Cricetulus griseus: one gene and its partners. The protein of the gene in region 4 interacts with the protein of the main gene of each other region in a biochemical or structural test. Links are inferred from orthologs where the notes say so. Each region holds a gene or a part of one and is shown on either strand. Other genes may lie near its edges. The genes, in order: Csn2, Top2a, Nedd1, Plk1, Wee1, Lrrk1 and Klhl22.

The links.
Region 1: of the proteins of Plk1 (region 4) and Csn2, one has a biochemical effect on the other in vitro, tested with the Homo sapiens proteins (3 studies listed by BioGRID). The link is inferred for Cricetulus griseus from reciprocal best matches to the Homo sapiens genes PLK1 and CSN2.
Region 2: of the proteins of Plk1 (region 4) and Top2a, one has a biochemical effect on the other in vitro, tested with the Homo sapiens proteins (2 studies listed by BioGRID). The link is inferred for Cricetulus griseus from reciprocal best matches to the Homo sapiens genes PLK1 and TOP2A.
Region 3: the proteins of Plk1 (region 4) and Nedd1 form a complex in vitro, tested with the Homo sapiens proteins (2 studies listed by BioGRID). The link is inferred for Cricetulus griseus from reciprocal best matches to the Homo sapiens genes PLK1 and NEDD1.
Region 5: the proteins of Plk1 (region 4) and Wee1 form a complex in vitro, tested with the Homo sapiens proteins (2 studies listed by BioGRID, with this or other methods). The link is inferred for Cricetulus griseus from reciprocal best matches to the Homo sapiens genes PLK1 and WEE1.
Region 6: the proteins of Plk1 (region 4) and Lrrk1 form a complex in vitro, tested with the Homo sapiens proteins (2 studies listed by BioGRID, with this or other methods). The link is inferred for Cricetulus griseus from reciprocal best matches to the Homo sapiens genes PLK1 and LRRK1.
Region 7: the proteins of Plk1 (region 4) and Klhl22 form a complex in vitro, tested with the Homo sapiens proteins (2 studies listed by BioGRID, with this or other methods). The link is inferred for Cricetulus griseus from reciprocal best matches to the Homo sapiens genes PLK1 and KLHL22.

What each region holds. Positions count from the first base shown.
Region 1 is NW_023276807.1:152,937,210-152,941,291, forward strand, and holds the start of Csn2 (beta-casein), read right to left. Parts: upstream 2,801-4,082; coding exon 2,729-2,800; intron 2,037-2,728; coding exon 2,013-2,036; intron 858-2,012; coding exon 834-857; intron 750-833; coding exon 708-749; intron 1-707. UniProt on the Homo sapiens protein: Important role in determination of the surface properties of the casein micelles.
Region 2 is NC_048600.1:112,082,388-112,085,887, forward strand, and holds part of Top2a (DNA topoisomerase 2-alpha), read right to left. Parts: intron 1,301-3,500; coding exon 1,069-1,300; intron 916-1,068; coding exon 781-915; intron 658-780; coding exon 457-657; intron 1-456. UniProt on the Homo sapiens protein: Key decatenating enzyme that alters DNA topology by binding to two double-stranded DNA molecules, generating a double-stranded break in one of the strands, passing the intact strand through the broken strand, and religating the broken strand.
Region 3 is NW_023276806.1:158,759,238-158,763,241, forward strand, and holds the start of Nedd1 (protein NEDD1), read right to left. Parts: upstream 2,801-4,004; 5' UTR 2,669-2,800; intron 2,374-2,668; exon of another isoform or gene 2,355-2,373; intron 1-2,354. UniProt on the Homo sapiens protein: Required for mitosis progression. Promotes the nucleation of microtubules from the spindle.
Region 4 is NC_048596.1:78,499,339-78,502,543, forward strand, and holds the end of Plk1 (serine/threonine-protein kinase PLK1), read right to left. Parts: intron 2,810-3,205; coding exon 2,654-2,809; intron 1,865-2,653; coding exon 1,787-1,864; intron 1,579-1,786; coding exon 1,424-1,578; intron 1,327-1,423; coding exon 1,144-1,326; intron 1,001-1,143; coding exon 794-1,000; 3' UTR 501-793; downstream 1-500. UniProt on the Homo sapiens protein: Serine/threonine-protein kinase that performs several important functions throughout M phase of the cell cycle, including the regulation of centrosome maturation and spindle assembly, the removal of cohesins from chromosome arms, the inactivation of anaphase-promoting complex/cyclosome (APC/C) inhibitors, and the regulation of mitotic exit and cytokinesis.
Region 5 is NC_048596.1:90,565,998-90,569,497, forward strand, and holds part of Wee1 (wee1-like protein kinase), read right to left. Parts: intron 2,235-3,500; coding exon 2,088-2,234; intron 259-2,087; coding exon 163-258; intron 1-162. UniProt on the Homo sapiens protein: Acts as a negative regulator of entry into mitosis (G2 to M transition) by protecting the nucleus from cytoplasmically activated cyclin B1-complexed CDK1 before the onset of mitosis by mediating phosphorylation of CDK1 on 'Tyr-15'.
Region 6 is NC_048596.1:130,973,393-130,976,892, reverse strand, and holds part of Lrrk1 (leucine-rich repeat serine/threonine-protein kinase 1), read right to left. Parts: intron 3,485-3,500; coding exon 3,372-3,484; intron 2,935-3,371; coding exon 2,720-2,934; intron 420-2,719; coding exon 255-419; intron 1-254.
Region 7 is NC_048597.1:71,571,253-71,574,752, reverse strand, and holds part of Klhl22 (kelch-like protein 22), read left to right. Parts: intron 1-2,464; 5' UTR 2,465-2,500; coding exon 2,501-2,727; intron 2,728-3,500. UniProt on the Homo sapiens protein: Substrate-specific adapter of a BCR (BTB-CUL3-RBX1) E3 ubiquitin ligase complex required for chromosome alignment and localization of PLK1 at kinetochores.

The DNA of each region.
Region 1 (4,082 bases), on a different chromosome or scaffold from region 4:
TATCAATTTTTAAAATTTTAATTTGACTTGAAAAATGTGAGCAACAAGCAATTTACTGAGGAAAACAAACTATCAAAGTTCAACTATTATGTAAGTGTGATTTAATAGTGGAACTTGACACTATTCAGAAAAGCATTGATTTGAAGGCAACCTCTTCTACTATACAGCTTAAGCAGTGGTCCAATCAGTTGTTCCATATCTCACTCCACTTATCTTTGAACTAGAAATGCCCTTAAGACTAGGTAAACATAAAGTACAAATGTTTTCATAAACCAAATGTGAATTAAAACCATTAACTCTACTAAAGGCCAATTAATTGCATTCATGGAAAAAAATTAAGATTGTGTTCAGCTTACAGGTGAAGAAAATGAACTATAAAGAGACTAATAAGCAATATTATTCTTCTGGCAGGTGTTCAGTATAGGATTTCTGCCACATTCTCAATGTGTCCTTTCATCATCATATTCATTTAGAAAATAAAAAGGACATTGTTTCTACTGGGGAAATGCTTATGTTAATTATTAAGAACAGATAATACCACTAGTAACTGCAATCATGATTTAGAAAATACATTGACACTTGAGTATGCTTTCATAGCACTGGTGGTATATGACCACTGTTTGCTATGAACATACATGCTATAATTATTTTCTGGCATTCATTACACATCACAAAACCAAGACATAAACTCTTCAAGAGCAATTTACCCTTGCTTGCAGCTGTTCCATTTGTCCAACCATCTGAAGTTTCTGTTAGAAACAAAGTGTACATTAAAAATCTCAAAACTTTTATCTTCATGAATAAATCATGGATATTAAATATAATGGGTTTACCTTACTGATGCTTTCAGAAGATTCCTTCAGAAAAATAAAAAAAATAATTAATTTTTACTGAGTAAATAGTATTTTCAATGGGTATTAAAATTAAGGTATCTGGTAAGCTATTTTAATAGGTTACTAATAGGAAAATTGATGAAATCTTATATTTAAACTATCTAAAACATTTTGTATAAGCCTATTGTATACAAGAAAGATGAGTGTCATCAAGAGAGAAAAGTGAATGAGTGAGCACAGTATATAAAGAGACATCTAAGCAATGTTAATTCCCTTTACAACCATAGTTCTTTCTCTGGCTACAAATGATCTTTAAATCCCATTTAATTCTTAAAACCAAACACAGAAACAGAGTTGAAAATACAGTCTAATGACAGCTAAGAGTACTTATTATAGTACTTGCTAATATACTAGCCTCCAAATAAACTATGAGAAACAAACACTTCCTCTGAGCATTTGTAGAATTCTGAAAAGAAATGTATATAATTGTATTCACTAATAAACAAATGATAACACATACAAATAAATAGTTCAAGGTAAAGACTGAGTGTATCTATTTGATACACTCAGGTACATTTAGGACTATATTGCATCTTACTTTTTTATTTACCTAATGACAACTTTAATAACCAAATGCATCCTTTTGCAAACAGGCCTACCCAGTATAGCACATGTATGTATTTCTATTGGTATCTGTCTTTAGTTTGGACTGTAGCTACTAGCCAATGAGCAATCCATAAAAAGCACATAGTAATAATAAAAATGCATGTCAAATTAGGGAGAGCTCTTGGCAGAGAATACGATTGTGAGCTTCTCAAATAAAAAGGTGTAGAAGAGGCAGTTAAAAATTTCAAATAAGAAACTAACTTGGAAAATTCTAATTATGCAGCTATCTAGATATTTTTCTTCCCAATACAATGCACAGCATATTTACCAAACAGGAATATGTTATAGTGTGGCTAACACAATGTAACTCAACAGAAAAGAAGCACTTTGGTGTTCTAAGTCTACAAGTTGCCTCTGAGACAGAATTGCTTTCCCTCACTGCTGGAAATGCTCTCAGTATGCAAAAACATTAGTAATACAAATGTGTTAATTTATAGATCCAATTAGGACTTCCAGATCATTAAAAATATAGTTATTTTAGGATTAAAATTTTTTCTCAATAAAACCTCTTACCTCAGAGGATATGCTGAGTGATTCCTTTTGTAAAAAGAAATAAAAGTACTTATTAGTGACAAAATCTACCTTGCTACTAAATATCCTTCCTATTTCATTTTTATGTCATCTACCTCTTTCAGAAACTTAAAAACCAAAAAAGTTATAAGCCTTTTAGAATCTTGAAAACACATTTACTCTCTCTAATAATTTAATAATTTTTATTGGCACATTCCTACATTGGATGAACTTGGGGAATTTTTGATGAGTGAGGAAAAAAGAAGTTACTTTAATTTCTACTAGGCATTTTTTTATTATGCCTACAAGTCTACCACAATTCTTGAATATGTTCCTTCCTCTGAATTTCCCTTTGGGCAGACACAGTAAGACTTGACCTGATTATCAAAGAAATGCATGCACTTTATCACCAGAATGAGATACTGAAGCCACGTGTGTGAGTCTACTTCTGTGGAGTTATATTTACTTGATGTATTTCTATTTTCTTGTTTTACTTCTTGTCTGTTTTACTTTTCATTTGGAACTGGTGGTCCAATAACACAATAAGCATTTGTTCCAGTTTTGAGAGCCTATAGGAACTTTGGGACAACAAAACTTTGTGACTCTCAAAGAAGCATTGATTAAATAAACAGATCTGAAGCTCTCCATTAATTACACACTGAGCCATCACTACTGTTACTGTCTACAAGTGAGAGGACCGTTCACTACATCTTAATTACATAGGAAGCTTCTTTACCCACCTCACTAGCAAGAGCAAGTGCCACAAGGCAGGAAAGTATGAAGACCTTCATGGCTGTCAGGTCCTGTGAATGAAAAGATGAACGAGTTGTAAGGGATGAGTCAATTAAAATCTACTCTGGCTCCTAAATATCCTATGTCTAACATCAAATTCAGACTTCAGCAGCTACCAGCAGTATTTTCTGCTCACAGCTCTCTTCCTTTCTTCTTTGTTAGCACTCTATTGTTAATGGGAGTATGGGCGCCTTACAAAACTATGAAGAAGTCATGACTATGGAACCCTTTTAATGAAAAAACTATTCAGCATTTCCAGATTATGAAGACATCAGCACTAGGGAGCCTCACTTCTAGAGTGAAATAATAGACTGTGCATAAACTGTTGTGTTGCTGGTGAGTGATCTCAGCATGAAAAATAAAAATTTAGATATGTTTACAAAGCATTCTTTCCAATACTTGACGGTGGAAAATTATTCCATTAGTAAAAAGCTGGTTTGGGTTTTTTGGATGGATGCTGCATAATTCATTAAGAACCTTTCCTTGTCTAAAGACTCCTCCATGGGTTTCCATATAATTTAATTGTCTTAGTTTAAAAGAAATTTGTACCCTTGTAGATTATGCATGTAGGGAGAATCCCACTGCAATTCTTATATTTTATCCTTACCATTTTATGTATCCATCTTTAAACTGGAACTTTGTTTTTACCTGGCACACTATAAGCCACTTTTCTTTCAACTCATCTTATTTCCATAATCATGGTTTCAAAGTAATATCTAATCTTCCTACAATTATTTTACAAACAGAAGACTTTGTCTCTATTTTTACAATTGTTAATATCTCACATGTAAAACATTATGAGCTAGATCAAGAATTCCAAGACTCTGGACAAGTTTTACGGTTGTAATCTTCTTGTGTACAAAACATGTAATTTGTTGCTTCTAATTGTTGCCCAAGAAATATCAATCTTTCCATGATATAATTTGAGTACATTTTATTACTAAAGAACAGCAAATCAAATAAGATAGCTTATTAAAGAAGTCAATCCTTAGTCTCTTCTTTATACCATTCACTGGCCTTGTATTTATTGTTACATGTTCTTGTTTTCATAAAGCCAATAGCCATTGTAATTTTTACCAAATCTTTCTAGACATTTCTATATTTTAAGCCTTGCTTTTAAAATAATCTCATTACTTCTTAAATATCTAATTTCAAAAAACTGTAATTATATTATTTCCATTATTTCTAGTCTAATTTAGTTCTAAATAAATTATGAAAATAATATGTCAAAACATGTCTGAAATTCTTACCTTTCGTGGAGGACAAGAGTGAATGTGAAGC
Region 2 (3,500 bases), on a different chromosome or scaffold from region 4:
AAAGAAAAGAAGACTCAAGCTTTGAATCAATAAATTGCATAACCTTTATAAAAATTATCAGAAATGCCCGTTAAATATCAATTATCAATTACTGAAAAAAGATTTTACATCAATGGATGTTTGCCTGCATGTTTGTATTGCAACCTGTGCTTAGAGCACTATCCCATGGAGGCCAAAAGAGGCCCTTGAATCGCTCAGAACTGAGTCACACAGTTGTGAACTGCCTGCCATGTGGGTGCTGAGAACTGAACCCAGTGCTGAGAACAAGCATTAAGTGTTCTTAACTGCTGAGACATCTCTCCAGCCTTTCCTTTTGAGACTATACAGCACAAGATAGCTTTGGAATTCATAGTGATCCTCCTGTCTCTTTCTTCAGATCACTAGGATTACTAGAGGGGACCCACATGCCAACAATATTAGTTTTTAAAGATGTATCTCTTACAAAATAAGACATACCATAGAGTTGCAAGTGAGACTAGTCTGCAGTTTGAAGACTTTGTGTAGTCCCACTCTCTCTGCCTCTGCTAATTTTTCTTCAGTCATCTTTATGACAAACTTGACAGTGGTGTCTGTGTGGTATTCCCTATAGTCTGTTATAAGAGGGGGTGTCTTCTCAGTACCATTCAACATGGGTTCTAGAACCTGTTCTTTGTAAGTCTAAAAACAAAACAAAACAAAAAAAAAACAAAGGACAGTAATCGTTTTATAAGGAGTCTCTTGAATAGTCAACAGCAACAATAACATCTTTCACTTGAAAAACCAAAAAATTAAGATATTTACCTGAGTCCACGTTCTGATGGGAAGCTCTGAGATTTCAATGGTTGTGGAATTTAGAATAGCTACTTCTCCATTAATCACATACTGATTAGAAGCCAGCTCTTCAATAGTACCTTTGAAATTTTTGTAACTTGGGAGCTAAATTAACAACAAAAGTTTTTTAAAAGTTAAATCACAAATATGTTCAAAAAACAAATCTAATATATGAAATAAATCTTGTGTTTGTACACTCTTTACTGTAGAATTTATTCAACTATGCCTGTGGTAAAGTTCCTAACCCACAACACTTACCATGGGCAGAGGCTCTTCTCCATCCAACAGTCGTCTGATATTATTTACGACTTCACGGATATCAAAGTTGGGGATTTTGCAGGACCACCCGGTACCAATTCCCTCAGCGCCATTTATCAGCACCATGGGAATAATAGGAATGTACCATTCAGGTTCAACACGCTGATTGTCATCATATAAAAACTTTAATGTGTGATCATCTTTTGGTGGAAATAACAACCGAGTCAAAGGGCTAAAGAAAGCAAAGAATATCATTTAGCAAAATGGCCTTGAAACTTCTTACATTCGGTTACCTGGGCAAGCCTGCATTCGGAGGGCTGAGGCAGAGACAGATAGGTCTATGAGCTCCAGGCCCATCAAGGAATATAGTGAGATCTTGCTCCAAATCCAAACCCAAACAAAAACCTGCCAAGCTCATGATTTAGTACAGGTAGACAGATAATGAATATGTATTCTGTAGGGCAGAATGCTAAAAAGGAAAATTAATACAGTGAATACTTTGGCACAAAGAAATGTGTGCTATAGTAACACATCTATAACCCTGGTACCTGGAGATGCAGTGAGAAGAGGATTTTGAGTTTGAGGCTTAGCTTAAATATATATTAAGACTGGTTCAAAAAACTAAACCAAATAAAAAAAAGAGTGCTGGGCTGGCTGGGCTGGGCAGATAGTTCAAGAACCTGAGTTGTTTTTTTTTTTTTTCCCGAGACAGGGTTCCTCTGTGGCTTTGGAGGCTGTCCTGGAACTAGCTCTTGTAGACCAGGCTGGCCTCGAACTCACAGAGATCTTCCTGCCTCTGCCTCCCAGTGCTGGGATTAAAGGAGTGAGCTACAACCGCCCAGCAAGACCTGAGTTTTAATCCTAGGACAACCCACATAAAAATGAGTGTAGTAGCATTCATTTATAACCCTAGTGCTGGGCAGGTGAAGACAGGACTTGCAAGCTAGCCAAGTAAGGACTTGGTCAGTGAGAGATGTTGCCTTAAAAATAAGGGGGTGGTTGGCACCCAAATTTCTCCACACATGCATATATAACACACAAAAGAATGCTAAAGTGGGTAGGGTGTTACAGAACAGCAACAGAAAGAGTGTTAAGATGTGAGGCATGAGGCAGGTGCCTGTGGAAAGCTGATATAGAGGACAGGAGTTAGCTCTGTTTTCTCTCCCCCTTTGTGTAAGTAGGTAATATGTATCTATTTAGAGCGTGTTAATATGGACACACATGGAGGTACAAGGACAACCCTGGGTATCAATCTTTGCCTGCCACCTTTTTGAGACAGGGACTCTTTTGTTGCTTGGTATTTATTGTGTATCCCAGCTTACAGGGATTCTCCTGCCTCCACTTCCATTACACCATCAGAGAACCAGGATTACAGACACACATCCGCTGCTATACACAGCTTTTTGTTTGTTTGTTTTTCAAGACAGGGTTTCCTTGTGTAGCTTTGTAGCCTGTCCTGGAACTAGCTCTTGTAGAACAGGTTGGTCTCGAACTCAGAGATTCCCCTGCCTCTGCCTCCTGAGTGCTGGGACGAAAGGCGTGCGCCACCACTGCCTGGCAGCTGTACCCAGCTTCAGATTACTCAAACTCAGGACCACATGCGTGTGTAGCAAGCATTTTACTCACTGAGCCACCTCCTAAGCCCAAGATAGTTTATCTGGAAGACTGGTGATATGAAAAAAGATCAAAAGATATAGGGAGCCCCAGGTCAGTGATCTCACAAGGTCTGGTTAGCTAAATTTACTCTGGGCAAGTAGAAGGCTCTGAACCAGTGAGTGACCTATTGTTAAAAACTAATTGGTAGGGGGCTGGAGAGATGGCTCAGAGGTTAAGAGCACTGACTGCTCTTTCTGAGGTCCTGAGTTCAATTCCCAGCAACCACATGGTGGCTCACAACCATCTGTTATAAGATCTGGTGCCCTCTTCTGGTGTGCAGATATACATGGAAGCAGAATGTTGCATACATAATAAATAAAATCTTAAAAAACAAAACAAAAAAACACTAATTGGTAGGAACTTAGGAGGCAGAGGCAAGTGGAGCTCTGTAAGTTCCAGGCTAGCCTGGCCTACAGAGTGAGTTCCAAGATAGCCAGAGCTACACAGCAGGACTTCAAAAAAAAAAAAAAATTCTTGTCTTTTGTATGTAGGTATATATGTATGTGTATGCATGCATGTAAAGGTCAGGTCAACTTCGGGTGTCATTCCTCAGGAGCCACCCACAAGTTTCTGTTTTTTGAAACAGCATCTTTCACCTAATTTGAAGCTCCATAATTGGCTAGCAATTCCCCTAGGAACCTGCCTGTCTTCACTTTTCCAGTGCCATTATATCCCCTTTTAATCAAAAATAATGTTATGTGTATAGGTGTATTATCTGCATGTATCCCAGTGCACTATGTGTGTGGGTTGGTGCCCAAGGAGGCCAGTAGAAGGCA
Region 3 (4,004 bases), on a different chromosome or scaffold from region 4:
TTTTATTCCAAACATCATACACACTAGAGTGATCTACAGACTAGTCAAATCACATACTCTTAGCTCATCCTCCCAGGAGTCTACCCCAGCAGCCCCAATAATCCCAAACTCCTCAGGCCACCTTACAGGATAGGTATGTCCATGCAGATCTCCCAGCTCTCTCCTCTGGGACCACTAGATCTCAACACTGGTGGTCTTCTTGTCTATGTATCAAGCCAAGGTCATCCTCATCTTAGTGTCTCTTCATCTGCTGCCCCCTCTACCTGGAAAGCTCCTCCCAGATTCCCCTAAGCCATGCCCTTATCATTCAGGTCTCAGCACAAATATCTCTGCCTCTAAAAGGTAGTTTTCCTATCTACTGTGGTGAAAGCAGCCCTTTACCAGTTACCCTATATTCCACCCAACTCAATGTTTTTCATGAAACTTCTGTTGTCTTATTTGTTCCCATAACAATATCTGCCTCCCCATATAGGAGACTTGAAACATTCCTGATCCATAAAGTATACCACAAAAAAGAGTATCTATGTTCTCATCTTTAGAAAAAAAAAAAAAAAGTAGCACAATCTAGTATTCCTAGAAGCCTCAATCCCATTATCCCAAGTTTTTCAAACTCTAAAATTAGCAACATGTTTAAAGAAATTGTCAATGTGTCCTAACTATAACTCTTGGTTCACAACCTCTCACTTTTTATTCAGTGTGATATTCCAAACCATAATTCCAACAAAGTGATACCAGAAGCCAAAGTAGTCCAGAGAGAACTTGAAAGGCTGCTGGAGATACTCTGAAGAGCAGCAGGTGGTGTAGGAGACAGTGTAAAAAAAAAATACACAGGAGAGAAGAAAGGAAAGGCATACTCGAAACCTCAGTACAGGTGGTACAAGAGTACTGACCCATAGGGTTGGGCATAGTGGCGAAAGTCTTTGATCCCAGAACTCCAGAGACAGAGGCAGGAGGATCTCTGAGTTCCAGTACAGTCAGGGCTACACAGAAACCATATCTTAAAAACAAACAGACGAATACTGTATTATTACCCAATAATAACCATCAACAAAACAGTTCTACTGCCTGTATCTAAAGACTAATATACAGCAATGAATTTGAATGAAGTGGGCTGTAGCCAACTTTTTTTTGTAAATAAAATCAATGAAGTTTTTAAAATTAGGGCATGCTGGGCGGTGGTGGCAAACGCCTTTAATCCCCAGCACTTGGGAGGCAGAGGCAGACAGATCTCTCTGAGTGTGAAGCCAGCATGGTCTACATGGTTTTTCGAGACAGGGTTTCTCTGTGGCTTTGGAGGCTGTCCTGGAACTAGCTTTTGTAGACCAGGCTGGTCTTGAACTCACAGAGATCTGTCTGCCTCTGCCTCCCGAGTGCTGGGACTAAGGGCGTACAAGCCACCACCGCCTGACTATGGGTGGTCTTAATTAGCTATAAGATGTCTGTGTGCAGCCGGGCGTTGGTGGGGCACACCTTTAATCCCAGCACTCGGGAGGCAGAGGCAGGTGGATCTCTGTGAGTTCGAGACCAGCCTGGTCTAAAAGAGCTAGTTCCAGGACAGCCTCCAACGCCACAGAGAAACCCTGTCTCAAAAAACCGAGGAAAAAAAAAAAAGAAGAAGAAGAAGAAGTTTGTGTACTGGGACGGTGTCAGGGAACATAGCTCACACGGCTCACTGCTGTCTAAAAATTTCCAAAAGCTTCAGTTAAGAAGTTAAGTCTCTACAGCTGAGGAGCCAGGCATGATGAAGCATTACCCATAGTCCCGTAGTCCCATCCCTTGGGAAGCAGAGGAAAGAGGACTGACATGAACTTGAAGCCAGACTAGGCTACAGAATCACACCCTGATTCAAAGAAATAAAACCAATCTGGGCTAGATAGCTCACTTTTTTTCAAGACAGGGTTTCTCTGTGTAGCCCTGGCTGTCCTGGAACTTGCTGTGTAGACCAGACTGACCTCAAATTCACAGAGATCTTCCTGCCTCTGACTCCCGAGCACTGGAATCAAAGGTGTGCGCCGCCACTGTACGGTAGATAGCTCACTTTTTTTGGGGGGGAGGGGATTCGAGGCAGGGTTTCTCTGTGGCTCTGGAGGTTGTCCTGGAACTAGCTCTTGTAGACCAGGCTGGCCTCGAACTCACAGAGATCCACCTGTCTCTGCCTCCCGAGTGCTGAGATTAAAGGCGTGCGCCACCACTGCCTGGCTTAGACAAGGTTTCTACTCGGTGACTATGAAGCATGTACCCTACTCGCCCCGTTGCCCTGCTCAAGGAAAAAGCAAGCGTGGAGAGTAGAACTCTTAAGTGCAGTAGACACAACTGCAACAAGTTGCTATCATAATGCCGCACAAGGTGCCTACTGGGCAGTGTGGAGCAACCGGTGGATCAAGGGTCCCAAAAGCTGAGTTAAGCGACCTGCCCAGGTCGTTTCAGTTTCTCCTCGCTTGACTTCTGGGATCTGATATCGGTCGCTCAGAGAGAGTTCCGAGCCACACTCGGAACGCACCCCAGGCCCAGGGCGGCTGCGGACCCGAGAGAGAGCAGGCCGCCCGGGACAGCTCTGCCCGCAACTCTGGGGCCCGCGATCCCGTCCCGGGCCGAGGCGACTGACCCCGGGGTCCCCGCCGCCGCCCTGAGCCGGGTGCTCGCAGCCCCGCATCCGGCGGAACCTCACCTCTCCGGTATGGGGCCACAGGGGGCCCAGCTCCAGCCGCTCCTCGCTGCGCTTCCGCTCCCGCCTGGACTGTTAAACTTGGGCGGCCGGAAGTCCCGCCCCGCGTGACGTCACGGGAGAAGCCAGGGTCTGAGCGTCCCGCCAGCTGGGTGGGAGCCCAGACAGGGGCGGTGCAAAGGGAGCTACCCTATCCTTGTAGCTACTGCGCCTTTGTTACTTTCGTGTTGCTGGTTGCTGCTGTGTGTCCAGCACTGTGTTAGGCTGTGGGTGTGTACTAATGGGCTTAGCCTAGAGGAACAGTAGATGTGTGAACTCTCAGGTCCCTTGGCCTGATGGAGCTCACAGTGGCCTGTAGGGAGCTAGTATCAACAACTCTTTATGTAAACATAGAGGGAAAGGGATAACAGAGTAAAAGATGGGGAACGTAGGGAGCTAGTATTAACAACTCTTTATGTAAACATAAGGGGAAAAGGGAAAGGGATAACAGAGTAAAAGACAGGGAACTAGAGGCCAACTTTGGCAGCTGTCAGTTGCCACAAAAGGATGTCACAGTCATCACAAAGAAAATGTGAGGAAGTCTCTAATAAAGGAAATTAACGTGGATGTTGGTTTAGGAAAGGATTCCATGAAGAAGCAGCCGCGTGAAGCTGATAATTAAGAAAGACCTAACCCAAATTGAACCCTAACCCTGGAGGTTGAGAACAAACTCAGGTGGCCTAAGCCTCTGAGCTAACCATCTTTAAATCCCAAGCCTCTTGTGCTGCTGGATCGGTTCCATGAGCACCAACTCCGTGGTTCTTTTTCTGAAGGAATTTGTCTCGGGGTGGAAAAGAACCAAAGAACTGAGTTTTCCTTGCTAAGTGACTGCTCTAGTGACAATTTTCACTTTGATTACTGAGACGGTGTTTCTATGGAAAGTTTATACGTTTGTCCTAGGTGCACACGCAATGTATTTCAGAACTGGGTACATAATGTCTCGGTTATCTGTACCCATACTGCATAACTGGAAGCCTACAATGTCCCAATCCCCACGCCCCCACCCCCCCACACACACACCCCTAGAAGGGAAAATGAAGTCCTACATAGCTTCCAGAGACTGATGGGGAGCAACCATAAAATGAAGGCTGTGAGTCGTATCTGCCTCAGGTATTCTGAAGCTTTTGGTTTTATTATGTTTTTTTGCTGGGGATTTGGCCTAACACGTTGAGATCTGAGAAAGTCGAGTAAAGAAGAGAAGTATGCTTCAAATAGAAGAGACAAATTCCTAACACTGTAACCAGCAAGAAATTTAAGATTTGTATTATATGGTGTGGGAAAACGTCAACACCAAAACTAT
Region 4 (3,205 bases):
TCAGTGAGAGACCTACTCCGTGCCATGAGGAATAAGGTGTGTACTAGAGCCTGGGTGGGAAATGGACCAGGGATGGCCTGGCATAGCTAAGCCAGGATCTTTGTCCTACCCATCCCCAGAAGCACCACTACAGGGAGCTCCCAACTGAGGTACACCAGGCACTAGGCCAACTCCCTGCTGGCTTCATCCAGTACTTCACACACCGTTTCCCAAGGCTGCTGCTCCACACCCACCATGCCATGAGGACCTGCGCTTCTGAGAGCCTCTTTCTGCCCTACTATCCGCCAGCTTTGGATACCAGGAACTCCTGCCAGATGCCACAAAGAGCTCAGACAACCAGGGGCTCCAAAGGTGGACCAAGGAGTTAAACACATGGCTCAGTCTGGTCTCAGGAGTGTCAGAAAAGATGGGCAGCGGTTTAGCAGCCTGAGGCTGTTGGAGCAGAGAAATACTTTGGGGTCACGGTACCCTCAAGAAATACAGAATTAAAAAAAAAAGGGGGGGAGGCAATGTACATATATTTAATGTATATAAAGCTAATAAAAGGGCAGTCCCAAGTTCAATAGAAATATCTATACAATCCATACAGTGGGCTGAGGGCAGGGGAGGAGGCTGTAACCCACACCCAAACATGTACAAAAATAACTTACACAGCAACCCCTTCAGGGGGGTGCACTGCTCCCCACCCAGCCCCCAGAGCCAGGGAGCACTGGACAGCAGCCCCAGGAGCCCAGCAGTGCAGGCCCACACAGAGCTTGCAGAGTGAAGCAGCACCAGTCCGAAGGACAGAGGCCTAAGAGGAGGCCTTCAGGCGGTTGCTGGCAGAGCGCGAGCTTAGCAGCTTGTCTACCATGGTACGGGCATAGCGTAGCCGGCTAGCCAGTTCCTTGCAGCAACCATATTCCTCCAGAAGACTTAGGCGGTATGTGCGGAAGTCCCTCTTCTCATCGATATAGGTCACTGCTGCCATCAGAGGGCACAGGATAAGTTTTGTGTGGTCCTAGGAGGGAAGAAGGAAGTGAGTGAAGAGCTCAGCTGGTGCCTGAGGTTGAGGCAAGGGAAGGAAGGCACCCCAGCTGGCGAAAGGGACATTACTCCCACCCCATCCAGCCACCCTAAGTACAGGCGCCTGTCCCTGCACACCTGAAAGAAGTTAATTTGTACAGTCCCATTGCTGAGGTGCAGGATGATGGCACTGCGTGTGCGGAACCACGTTCGCAGGTAAGGCAGCCGGGCCAGTTCATCACCTTCCCGAGGTGTGATGTTGGCCCCTGCCTTCAGCAAGTGTTCACTCATGTAATTTCGGAAATACTTCAGGAGCGTGATCTGGTTGAAAAGTTGGGGTAAGGATTCCAGAATAAGGGCCTGACCCTGAGGTAGCCCCCATACCCTACCAAACCATCCCTCAGCAGTCAGTTCCCACCTTCTTCATCAACGAGTTAGGGTGGGAGCTCACGGTGAGGTAAGACTCTGTGCCATCACGTTCTATGTACTGTAGGCTGTCACCGTCATTGTAGAGGATGAGGCGTGTTGAGTCATTGAAGAGCACCCCCACACTGTTGTCACACAGCTGATACCCTAATGGCAGGTGGAAGGCTATCTCAGAAAGGCAGGAGGAGGTGGACAAAGGCCTGGGAAATAGCTTAGTAGTAGAGTGCCTGCATGCATAAGGCCCTAACAATTCTTGGTAACACAGACACACAATTACAGACATCACTTGCTCCTCACTCAAAGGCTACCATGGCCACACCATCCCCTGCCCATCCCACATTCTGGAGACACCTACCAAGTCCATACTTGTCCGAATAGTCCACCCACTTGCTGACCCAGAAGATAGGGATACATGCAGGATCCTCAGCCTCCTCTGGGATAGAAACAGACCACTGGTTAGGCCAGCCCCTTCTCCTGTCTTCTCAGGCAGCCCTCCCCAGGGCTGGGAGGAGGGGGGTACCCCATGAAGCCTGGGGAGGAGCCTGACAGTACAAACCTAGACACCCAAATGGAAAATCGCAGCCCAGGATGCCAAGTCCCTCTTCATTAAATGGACCCCTTTACTGTGTCCCAGGAAGGAGAGGACAGGAAAAGAAAACCCCAGGTATCTAGAAGGGCCCTCGTTCCAACCACAGAGATGAAGTGTGATCAAAGTCTCTTAAGCTGCTGTCATTAGCACTGGGGCTGGTGAAGGCCTAGTGCCCCAGATTAAAGTGACGAAGAAACTGAGCAGACCTGACAACTCCTGCAATGCCAGAACCAACTCAGTGCACACAAGACCCTTCTGCAAAGACACAAATATGTTGGGAAGAAATGTTATAGAGAATTATGTCAGGCTGGGAAGTGCTGGTAGTGGGTGTCAGGGTGGTGACAGAGGGCACAAAAGCCCTGAGGCTGGAGTGGTCCCGAATCTTCTGAGTACCAAGGGAGTATTAATTCCCTGGGCAGAAAGGAGACACAATAGATGCAGCTATGCCGAGGTGACCTATCAGCCACCTATAAAACAAGAGGGAGCAGAAACCAGCAGAAGGTACACCAAGGAGGGTCTTGGGTGTCATGCTGACTCATCTGGATTTTGATCTATAAGAAATGGGCTCTCTGCTGTGCTGATCGAGATGCCCTGCCTTCTCCACATGTTCAGCCCCCTGTGATGTCCTCTCACCTTGCCGCACCAGCCCTCGCTCTGAGGGCTTAGAGGCATTGACACTGGTCAACTGCTGCAGCAAGTCACTAAGGTGGCACTCAATGGCTTCATTCGTCTCCCGAACCACTGGTTCCTCCTTTTCCCGGGGACGGTCAGGCAATGGGTTCTCCACACCTAAGAAGATGAGCAACATGGTCATTCATTGGCCAGGCACAAAATTGGGGAGGGAGCACAGGATTACCTGCCACAGCTAACAGTCTTCCCACAGTACCCATTAACTATCACTGCTGTGGGGGAACTGAGTCAGTACCAGGTTTTCTGTGTCAGGTATGTGGTACATACTGAGAGGTCACAAAGTGTCAGGTGCTCAGGTCTCTGCTCCAACAGCCTGGCCTTCCAGGACAGCAGCTGTCACTGACACTCAGGGAGGCAGCCTGAAGGCACCAATTCAAGCAAAGAATGAAGGTCACCTTGTACACCCAACAAGGTGGAAGGATGGGTGAAGTAGTATAACCCTTTTGCTTTGTGTGCTTACAGATAACTAAGTCTAATGAAACACACATTGAAGCG
Region 5 (3,500 bases), about 12 Mb from region 4:
ACAAAAGGCCCCAACATGAAACAAGACGGAACATGAGGACTATCACATAAGTTTGTCCTCTAACATCTATACATGCTCTGTTGCACATACATGCCTACCAGGCTCATATCTACTCACTCAACACCCCCAACTCCTAATTTAACTTATCATTAATAGTTTTACCTATTTTAAACATAACTTTGTTGGATATCCAGTCATCTTCATCTCCTTCTTCAGAGACAGCATTCGGGATTGAGGTTCGAGATATGAAAATATTACCTATTGAATCAAAATAACTATATTTAACAAACAAGGTCAAATATAAATATAAATAATACCAATAAAGCTAGGAGTGGTGGTGCATGCCTTTTAATCCCAGAACTCTGGAGGCAAAGGCAGGCGGATCTCAATGTGTTTGAGGCCAGTTTGGTCTACAAAGCAAGTTCCAGGACAGCCAGGGCTACACAGAGAAATCCTGTCTTAAAAAACCCAAAATAAGCCAGGCGTTGGTGGCACACACCTTTAATCTCAGCACTCGGGAGGCAGATCTCCCGAGTTTGAGGCCAGCCTGGTCTACAGAGTGAGTTCCAGGACAGCCTCCAAAACTACAGAGAAAACCTATCTTGGAAAAACCCAAAAAGATAAAGTAGTATTGCCTAATCTTACAGATTCTGATCTCATGACTATTCCAAACATTTTTTCCTGTTTTTGTTTTTGTTTTGTTTTTTGGAGATATGGGTTTACTTTTGCAGTCCTGGCTAGTCTGGAACTAACTATATAAACTAAGCTTGGCTTCCACTGCCTCTGTCTCTCAAGTGCAGGTTATTGTCTACGACACTACATTTGTTTTTGTTCTTCCTTTACAACAAACTTTAGTCAGGTGAAAAATTTTTAACTGCAACTCACAAGTTGTATAAAACTACTTAAGATTTCCCAAATTGACATGCTCCCTTACAATAAAAGCAAATATTTTTATCTGTAAAAAGTTTTATCTATAAAAATTTTATCTTTTTTTTTTTTTTTGGTTTTTCAAGACAGGGTTTCTCTGTGTAGCTTTGGAGCCTATCCTGGCACTAGCTCTGGAGACCAGGCTGGCCTCGAACTCAGAGATCCGACTGTCTCTGCCTCTCGAGTGTTGGGATTAAAGGCATGCTCCACCAACACCTGGCAATATAAAATTCAATTTTAAAGGAACCTTTTCAAAGATGTAGAACCCACATGGTGGCTCACAAATGCCTCTAACTTCAGTTCCAAAGTTTTCAACATGCTTGTCTAGCTTTCAAGGGCTTCTGATTACAGATGGTACACATAAATTCACTCAAATGCACACATATACATAAATTAAAAATTAGTTGCTTCCCCCAAGACAGGGTTTGTGTAACAACTCTGACTATCCTGCAACTTGCTTTGCCTCTTGAGTACTGGGATTAAAGGTGTGTGACACAATACCATCTACTTAGTTGATTTTTGTTGTTGCTGTTTTATAAGAAAAGCACTTTGCCTGCAATGGTTAGTTTGAAACCATCAACCCTTCTAACTTTCAATTTACAGGAAATATAAGGAAGATATAAGCTAAAAATACAAGAAAGCAACAAGTTAAACATGGGAGTTTATCTGTAGGACTAAGCCTACAATTTTTAAGAAGTAGAGAGGATGGGAAGATGTCTCACTGGTTACGAACACTAGGTGTTCTACCAGAGGATCAGGTTCAATTCCTAACACCTACATGGCAACTCTCACCTGTCTATAAATCCAGTTCCAGGGATTCTGATACCCTCACAGACATACACAAAGTCAAAACACCAATGAACAGAAAATAAAAACAAACTATAGATTAACAAAGAAAAAATGTAGAAGAGTGAAACCTGAAAAAGGAAAATGATATAGCCAGATGCATAGTATGATACTGAAACAGATACCAGTTTAAAGGAATCAACCATGAAATACTTGGGCCAGTTTGGGGCAGGGGTAAGGGGTCTAGTCCTCATCATAAAACAATACTAGTAAGTAATCAATGAAAAGTAGAAAGATGTTTTCATATTGCTACAATGAAGTAATTTATTCCCATTATCCAGGTTCTAAACAGTACAGCCATCTAGAATACTTACTAGGTTTTATATCCATATGAACCAAACACATTGAGTGTATGTATCTCAAGCCCCGGCCAACTTGCAAAAGCAGATCCTTTAGCTCTACTTCAGTAAAGTAGCTCATGGTTCTGTAGTTCTCACTTATAGCATCAGCCAAACTCCCACCTAACAAAAACAGCAAAAATTAACATTTTTGTTAATTTCCTTTTATTAAAATTTACCAAAACATTTTTTATGTTCCCTTCTCTCTATAGTGAACAACTGCAATTCTCCATCAAGAAAATGTTTAATAGAATCTCTCTCTTCAACTTGCTTGCGATATCAACTTTTATTTATTGTTTTAGTAGGAAATACTAACAAATATAAAAAATACAATGTAACAAACACCAGGCTTGGTGATGGAGGCACATAATACTAGCTATTTGGGAGGCTAAGGCAGGAAGACCATAAGTTTGAGGCCAGCTTAGTCTACAAAATGAATATAAGGCTAGCCTGGATAACTTAGTAAAGACAGTCTCAAAATTTAAAAAGGGCAGGATTCAATGCCTACTGAACATATATAGGTCCTAGGTTAAATTCTCAGTGCTGAGAAGGAAAACATGATTTAAATTTTCTTTCAACTTATTAACCTCAGCAACCAACTCAGTTCACTTTCTCAGAGTAAACCATCTGTTTCTTCCTCTTTTTCTGAGGGGGAAACCTCCAGAGAGAACAAGAGCAGAGCATGGTGACACACACCTTTAATCTTCAGCACTCTGGAGGTAGGGGCAGACAGATATCTTGGAGTTTGAGGCCAGCCAGAAATACATAGCGAGATCCTGTCTCTAAATAAACTAATAAACCAGGAAAGGGAAGAGGTCTTTACTATCTACATCACTTACTGACTCACAAATTAGACTGTTATTCATGAAAATAAACAAGGGTAAACCTTACTATATCAAGTGTTTCTAAACCTTTTTTTTTTTTTTTTTTTTTGAGACAGGGTCTCTATGTAGCCCTGCTAGTTAGCCAACTACATTTCTTTTTTTTTTAAACAAGATTTTTATATATGTAATGTATATCTGGAAGGTAGAATAGGGTATTAGTGCCTTTCTATCTTTTTCTTTGAGGCAGCATCACTCCCTGAATGCAGGCAGGGTTCATTCACATTTTCTCTGCTAAACTACAAATGAGCAAGCCCCAGTGATTCTCCTGTCTCTGCTTTCCTGGGAGCTGGGGTGGGATAGAAGCATATTCAGGAAGCCTAACCTGTTGCATTGATGCTGGAATTTGTACTCTAGTACTTGTTATTGCAAAACAAGCACTCTCAACCATCAAGCCATCTCTGTGGCCCTCTAAACCACACACTTCTCATCTTTATGGAAACAATTTAAAAATAGAAACAATCCACTGTGTAGGCTTAGCCAGTTGGAGGTAGCGCATGCCATTAAT
Region 6 (3,500 bases), about 52 Mb from region 4:
AGTGCCTTGCATGCATGGGCTATTAGGTTTCAGGTAAGTAAGAAAATGACAAGAGCACTGGGCCCTAAGGACCAGGAGGCCTCTGAGTTCTCAGTATGAAAATCATGCAAGGCCACGATTTGGGACCCCCCTGGGAAAGCCCTTCTTTCTCCTGTGCACTGTCCCTTTGTTCTTGATCCACATAATGCTTCAGAACACAGAACCCTGTGGTGCTGGGTCCTGAGTACTAGAAGGCAAAGATGGTGGCTCCTCACCTCGATGTTGAGCAGCCAGAACTGGAGGTTGGCCACAGCTTCCTCCCCCAGTGCCAGGTTCCAGACCACTACATACAGGGCCTTGTCTGTGAAGAAGCACTGATTGACGGTGGCCATGCTGGCAGGACCCCCAATGTCCCAGACGTTGAACTCCACGGACTCAACCTACTTGAGCAAGAAGGCACAGAAGGGGGGGCACATTTGAGTGACCGAGGGAGTGAGGAAACCACAAGAAAGTTTACAACCTGGAATGTGTCTGGAAAAGACAATGCAGTGGTAGAAAAGTTACAGACTCCAGTGTGTCTAAGTTAGCAATCCTGGTGAGGGAAAAGAGCCCAGTGGCCCAAAGGTAGACTTCTGGGAGCTTCTATTTGCTGCAAACAGAGTAGGGCATCTGAGAAGATCATGGCCTGTCATATTGCTTATCTTAGGCTCTCCACAGTTGGAAGACATCTGGTGGCAGAAGGGCCCCCACTTTGACATCATGGCTCCACCCTATCTGTGCAAGGGCCAAATGGAGGAGGCACCCTTGAACTTATGTAGGTCAAAGGTTAGGGCCCACCAATGAGGCTTGGGAAATCCCCCCTGACTTGAGAATCCAACAACAGGAACTGGGCTGCCAGTAAGGCCGTGGAAACGGTTTCTCTATCACTATATGAGCTCAGAGCTGGCCTGGAAACCAAGACTACAGTGAGCTATAGCCAGGAGTCATTTCCATGAGGCAGCATTTGGCCTCTAAGACATACAGCATGCTGACCTGGTTTAGTATACAGATGAAAGCAGACAGCTGTTCTTAGCCAGCTAAAGGTCAGCCGCACAGGGCAGGAGGGGCCCACAAGAGCAGCAGTGGCTTTCGAGTGAAGGCGGTTTCAGGCCAGCCTGGGCACCCATGCACTGAAGAAAAGCTGGGAGCAAAAGTGACTGAGTCACTGACAAAACAGCAAAGCCAAGGGTACTGTAGAAAATTCTGGTTACTTGAGAGAACCGTCAGACGTGAGTCAGCTAGAGTCACTCCCTGTCTGTTCCGAGTAGGCCTGGCATTCATTACATCACTGTTCGGAACTCAACAGGCAGGACCCTGCTCTTATTTTTATTTTGGGTGCTGGAGATTGAACTCGTGGCCTTACAAATGCCCAGCACAGGCTGTCCTACCAATGTGTACTCCTAGCCCCAAGGGTCCTGTTGCGGGGGGGGGGGGAAGCTCCTAGTATGTTTGCTTACACCATCAGAAGGTTCCGTTTCTCAAACTGGATTTCCCTGATTTGGAAGGTGGTTTTATGTACAAAAACTCTGCAGTCAAACTTAGCCCTCATTGTGCTGGGCTTGGAGAAGAAAACCAGGCCCATTCTGGACACAGCCTCTCTGCTTTCTACCCTGTCACCCTTTCTCCACCGGGGATCCCTGAATCACCACAGTGAGGCAGAGACACACATACAGCAGAGGAGGACGGTACTGTCTGGCACTCGGGGAAAACCACTTTATGTCTGTTCTACGGATGGAGTGCTGTTATGGTTTGAACTGGAAATGTCTGCTAGTGGCTTATGTCTTGAACACTTGGTCTCCTGCTGGTGAAATCTTAGGAGGTTCTAGAGATGTGGGAGGTGAGACTTGGGGGCAGTAGGTCACTAGAGGCGAGTCCTTGGGAGGGTATTATCCTGGCCACTTCCTGTCACTCCCTGCTTCTTGTCCCCCACAGTGTGAGCAGCTATCTTCATCAGACACATCAACCATCATGATGTTCTGCTCAACAGAAGGGACCAAGCAACAGTGGAATAAACCACATATATATGCTCCCCTCTAAGTCATTTCTGATAGGTATTTTGCATTTTGGTCACAGCAACATAAAAGTGTAACATAAGTGCCAGGCTGAGGTCCCACTGGTTCTTTTCTGCTTCAAAAGGCTTTTTTAAAAAAAGTTTATTTCCACCTGCTTGGTCCTGAATAGAAAAGAAGATGATGAACAAATTGGTAAAGAATTCATCTTAAACAGGATATTGAATGGAATTTTTTCAGGGCTTGAATGGAAGCAGGAATCAGGGAGGATGATGGACTGACTCCTGGGGTACCTTCTCAGTCTCCTTTTAAGGGGGCTGAGAGATGCTGAGGTACACCTCACTGTCTGCTCTGGTGCTTTGTTCTTAGCCCTAGGGGAGCCCCACCCCAGCCTATTTGAAGCTAAGTCACCGAGGCCAGCTTTGAAGTCTGAGCATGCACTCAGAGAGAACCACAGGGGAATCCAGCAGACAAGCAGGGTCAAGAACCATTGGCCCAGAGCCTTGACTTCATTATGACAGAAAGACTACAAGGTCATGGAAAGAACCGATTCGTCACTCTTGGCAAGAGCTGGTGAGCAACAGCACAGAATGTCTTGGGCCTTGCACTCAGAATGTCCAGGGTCTCCAGGGGAATGGAGAACAGACCACAGGGAGGTCCCTCCCTCCCACTGCATGTCCACCATCCTTCACCTTGGCTTTGGAGCCTGCTGGCCTCTGGAGCTCCCACTTGGTGGTTCTGATGGTGGCCTCGCTGTGTGCTACCTGGGGGGCCTTCCCCGTCTGTAAGATCTCCAGGAGTGTGGACTTGCCCTGGCGTGGGGGACCTACGAGGATCATCTTCATCAGCTTACACTTCTCTGCTTTGCGTAGCTGAGCACGCAGGAAGGACAGTGTCGCTTTGGGGCCTGTGAGAAATCAGAGGAGGGGGCAAGTGAACACCCTAGGTGATGTATAACGGGGATGCACTCACATTTCTTAAGAGGCCAAATTCCATCCCAATTTCTAGGTGTTCCAAGGGAAGATGAGGAATCTGAGAGCAGGAAGGGATGACAATAACTACCCCCAAAATTAAGTGTGACAGCCAGGACTGAAGGACAATATCCTTGCTGCCCTGGTTGCCGTATTTTACTACCTAGCCATTCCCAATTGATGTTGGTAGCTTATCGCTGTTGATAGCTAATCGCTGTTGAGAGCTACTGTGCTGGGGCCATCTCCCCAAACTCTGAGGTTGGAGTTGGGCCCCACAGTTCATTCACCCACTGACTCCATCCTTCAAAGCTACCAAGGGAACCTGAGTTATCTTTTCACGGCAGTGATGTGAACAGGGCTGAGGAGGCCCTACCTTCTTTCCTGATCTCTGCAGGTACATTGCCAATGTTCAGGTCTTCAATGTCCAGTTGCCAGAGGTTTCCCAGCTGGCCTAGCTCAGGAGGAAGCTCTCGGAGGCCAGGATTACTGAAGCGAGCAAGTG
Region 7 (3,500 bases), on a different chromosome or scaffold from region 4:
AAATATATGGTAGGGAACTGGGAATGGTAAGTAAGGAGGCAAAAGATAGAGAAGATTCATGGCCTTCTAAATGGCTGACCTGTGCTAAAACATATAGTTGGCCACAGGCCCTGTCTTACCTCCAGGCTGGTTGCTTCCTGACCCTAGTAGCTGACTATGCACAGTTGTTTCTGGTTCATATTTCTCTCTCTCTCTCTCTCTCTCTCTCTCTCTCTCTCTCTCTCTCTCTGTGTGTGTGTGTGTGTGTGTGTGTGTGTGTGTGTGTGTGTTGGCAAAGGGATATTTGTAGTAGGTTTGGTTTTCTTGGTTGGGTTTTTATGGCTCCTTTTAAAATCATTTTGCAGTTTTTGAGCATACTGGCCAAATTATTAGAAGGTAATCTTTTTTTTGTTGTTTTGAGACAGGGTCTTCTCTACTTAGCCCTAGCTGTCCTGGAACTTACTATGTAGACCAGGCTGGCCTTGAACTCACAGAGATCCACCTGACTCTGCCTCTCTAGTGCTGGGATTGAAGGCCTGAGCTACCACACCCAGCTTTAGAAGGTAATATTTATTGGTTTGGAGTTTATTTGTTTGTTTTTTGACATAGCTCAGGTTTGCCTTAGACTCTTATTTGTTGAAAGGATGGCCTTGATTTTAAAAAATGTGGTATGTGTGTATGTGTTTACATATCTGCGTGCATATGAGTGCAGGTGCCCACAGAAGCTAGACATCAGATCCCTGTAGAGCTGGAGTTGCAGGCAGTTGTGAGCTGCTTGACATGAGTGATGGGAATTGAACTCTGGTCCTGTGGAAGAGAGCAGTACACTGAGCCATCCTTTAGTCCTGCTCCCCTCCCCCAAAGATTTTTGTTGTTGTTGTTTCAAGACAGGGTTTCTCTGTAACTCTGGCTGTCCTGGAACTCCCTCTATAGACCAGGCTGGACTTGAACTCACAGAGCTTCACCTGCCTCTGTCTCCCAAGTGCCAGGATTACAGGCATGTGCTATCACACCCAGCAAAAGATTTATTTTTATTTTATTTATTTATTTATTTATTTATTTATTGGTTTTTCGAGACAGGGTTTCTCTGTGAGGCTTTGGAGCCTATCCTGGCACTCGCTCTGGAGACCAGACTGGCCTCGAACTCACAGAGATCCTCCTTCCTCTGCCTCCCAAGTGCTGGGAATAAAGGCGTGCGCCACCAACGCCCCGCAATATTTATTTTTATTTTATGTACATGGATGTTTTGCCTACATGTATATGTGTGCACCATGTGCATACCTGATGCCTGTGGAAGCCAGAAGAGGGCATTGGATCCCCTTGGAGTTGGAGTTACAAACAGCATAAGGAACCATGTGGGTCCCAGAAATTAAACTCTGATCCTCTAGACGAGCAGTAGCCAGTGCTTTTAATTACTGAGCCATCTCTCCAATACCTACTTATTTTCCTTTTGAACCAGGCAATGGTGGTGAATGTCTTGAATCCCAGCACTTGGGAGGCAGAGGCAGGCAGGTCTCTGAGTTTGACACCAGCCTGGTCTCCAGGGTGAGTTGCAGGACAGCCAGATCTACACAGAGAAACCCTGTTTTAGAAAAGCAAACAAAAAAATTGTGAAATTGTAAGGTGTTAATGAGGTGCTTTTTTTGGCTTTAGGGATAAGAAAGAGCTAATACTGATAAACTCAAAGGTCACATAGGTTTGGCCTGAGCAAAGTCTATTTGCTGTTTTAGCACTGTTTTTTTTTTTTTTTTTTTTTGAGACAGGGTCTTGCCTTGTAGCCTGGCTGGCCTGGAGTTTACTTGCTATATAGATCAGACTTGTCTCAAACTCAGAGTGCTGGGATTAAAGTCAGAGTCACTGAGTCTGGCTTGTTTTAGTATTCCTGTTTGAGATCTTCCTCAAAGGTGGGGGATATTGTTGTAGGCCATCTTTTGGTGTCTTGACAGTTACATGGACATTCTTAACTCTCAGCCAATGAAAAATAAACCTGATTGTGGTAGTGAGAGGCTGTGTGTTTCTCCCATGTTCTCTTAGCTTTCCCTGTCTTTCTTTCCTGCCTCAAGTCTTCTCCCAAAATTCTTCTCTGTCCAGGGCTCAGGATCAAATACTAGGCAAGTGCTTTACTGAATCACACCCCTGTCTTCTTTTTAATTCTCTTAAGTTTTCGGCCCTTGAGTTTGTGATCTTCTAGTCTCAGCCTTCCAAGTAGCTGGGATTATGTTTGTGAGTCATCCTGCTAGCCTCAGAATACTTCTGTTTTCCTGCAGTGCTGAAGGTGGCACAATAGGATGAAGACCTTGTGGATGAAGAGACCAGGTTATAAGACAGAAGGCCAAGTGGGACCATGGCCGGGAGGAAACAGGGAATAGAGACTTTGGGATCACAGGGAAGTCACTGTAGCAGGTGCCACAGGTGCAAAGCCTTCAGCCTATGTGGCATCGTGCAGCTCCCTACATGCTCACTCCTTGTTCCCTCTGTCTTACAGCTGACTACAGTGGTCAGGGCTGCTGTGGCTGTCAGGATGGCAGAGGAGCAGGACTTTTTCCAGCTGTGCAAGCTGCCAACACAGCCCTCCCACTCACACTATGTCAGCAACACCTATCGAAGCACACAGCACTCCCAGGCCCTGCTCCGGGGCCTGCTTGCTTTGAGAGACAGTGGGATCCTCTTTGATGTTGTCCTGGTGGTAGAGGGGAGACACATTGAGGCTCATCGAATTCTGCTGGCTGCATCATGTGATTATTTCAGGTAAGCTATGTTTATTTTTTCAATGTTTTTATTAATGGGTTTCATTATGATACTCTCGTACATGTATATAATGTGTTTTGATCATATTCTCCTTAGTACTCTTGTTCCACTCCCAGTGACTGCCTTCTTCCCTACTAGTCCTCCTTCTACATTTCTGTTTTGTTTTTGTAGAGCCACTGAGTATATTAGGGTCTCTAGCAGGAGAGTTGGGTGAAAGGTTATTTAGTGACATGAGGAGTACCTTACTGGTGGCTGTCTTCCCTCAGCAACCACTGTGTATAGATCCTCAAGGAGGAGAAGCCTTATGCACTCCTCCCCTGTAACAGTTTCTGTAGGACTGATAAAAGGTAGTCTTAGCTTTACCAAGTGTGGTTACTGGTACTGGAGGTGGCTGGGTCTTCTCTTTCCTTTGAGGCTCTCAGCTGTGGAGACTCCACCAACCAGCCTGGCACAGAAGAGATCTTAAGAGTTTGTCTTTCAGTTTGGCTCTCTGCTGGGTATGTTCTCATTTTTCAAAACTGCATCATTACTGGCTTGACTTCCATTGTTGTTGGGAGGTTTTGTTTTGTTTTCAAGACAGTTTCTCCATGTAACTCTGGCTGTCACTCTGTAGACTAGACTGGCCTCCAACTCAGACATCTACCTGCCTCTGCCCCCCTACCATGACTGGCTTTTGGGGTATGTGTGTGTGAGAGAGAGAGTTTTCTTTTTACTTTACTGTGGGCTTAAAGCCATGGAAATTGAAAGAATAGTGTGTGATGAGCATAATAATT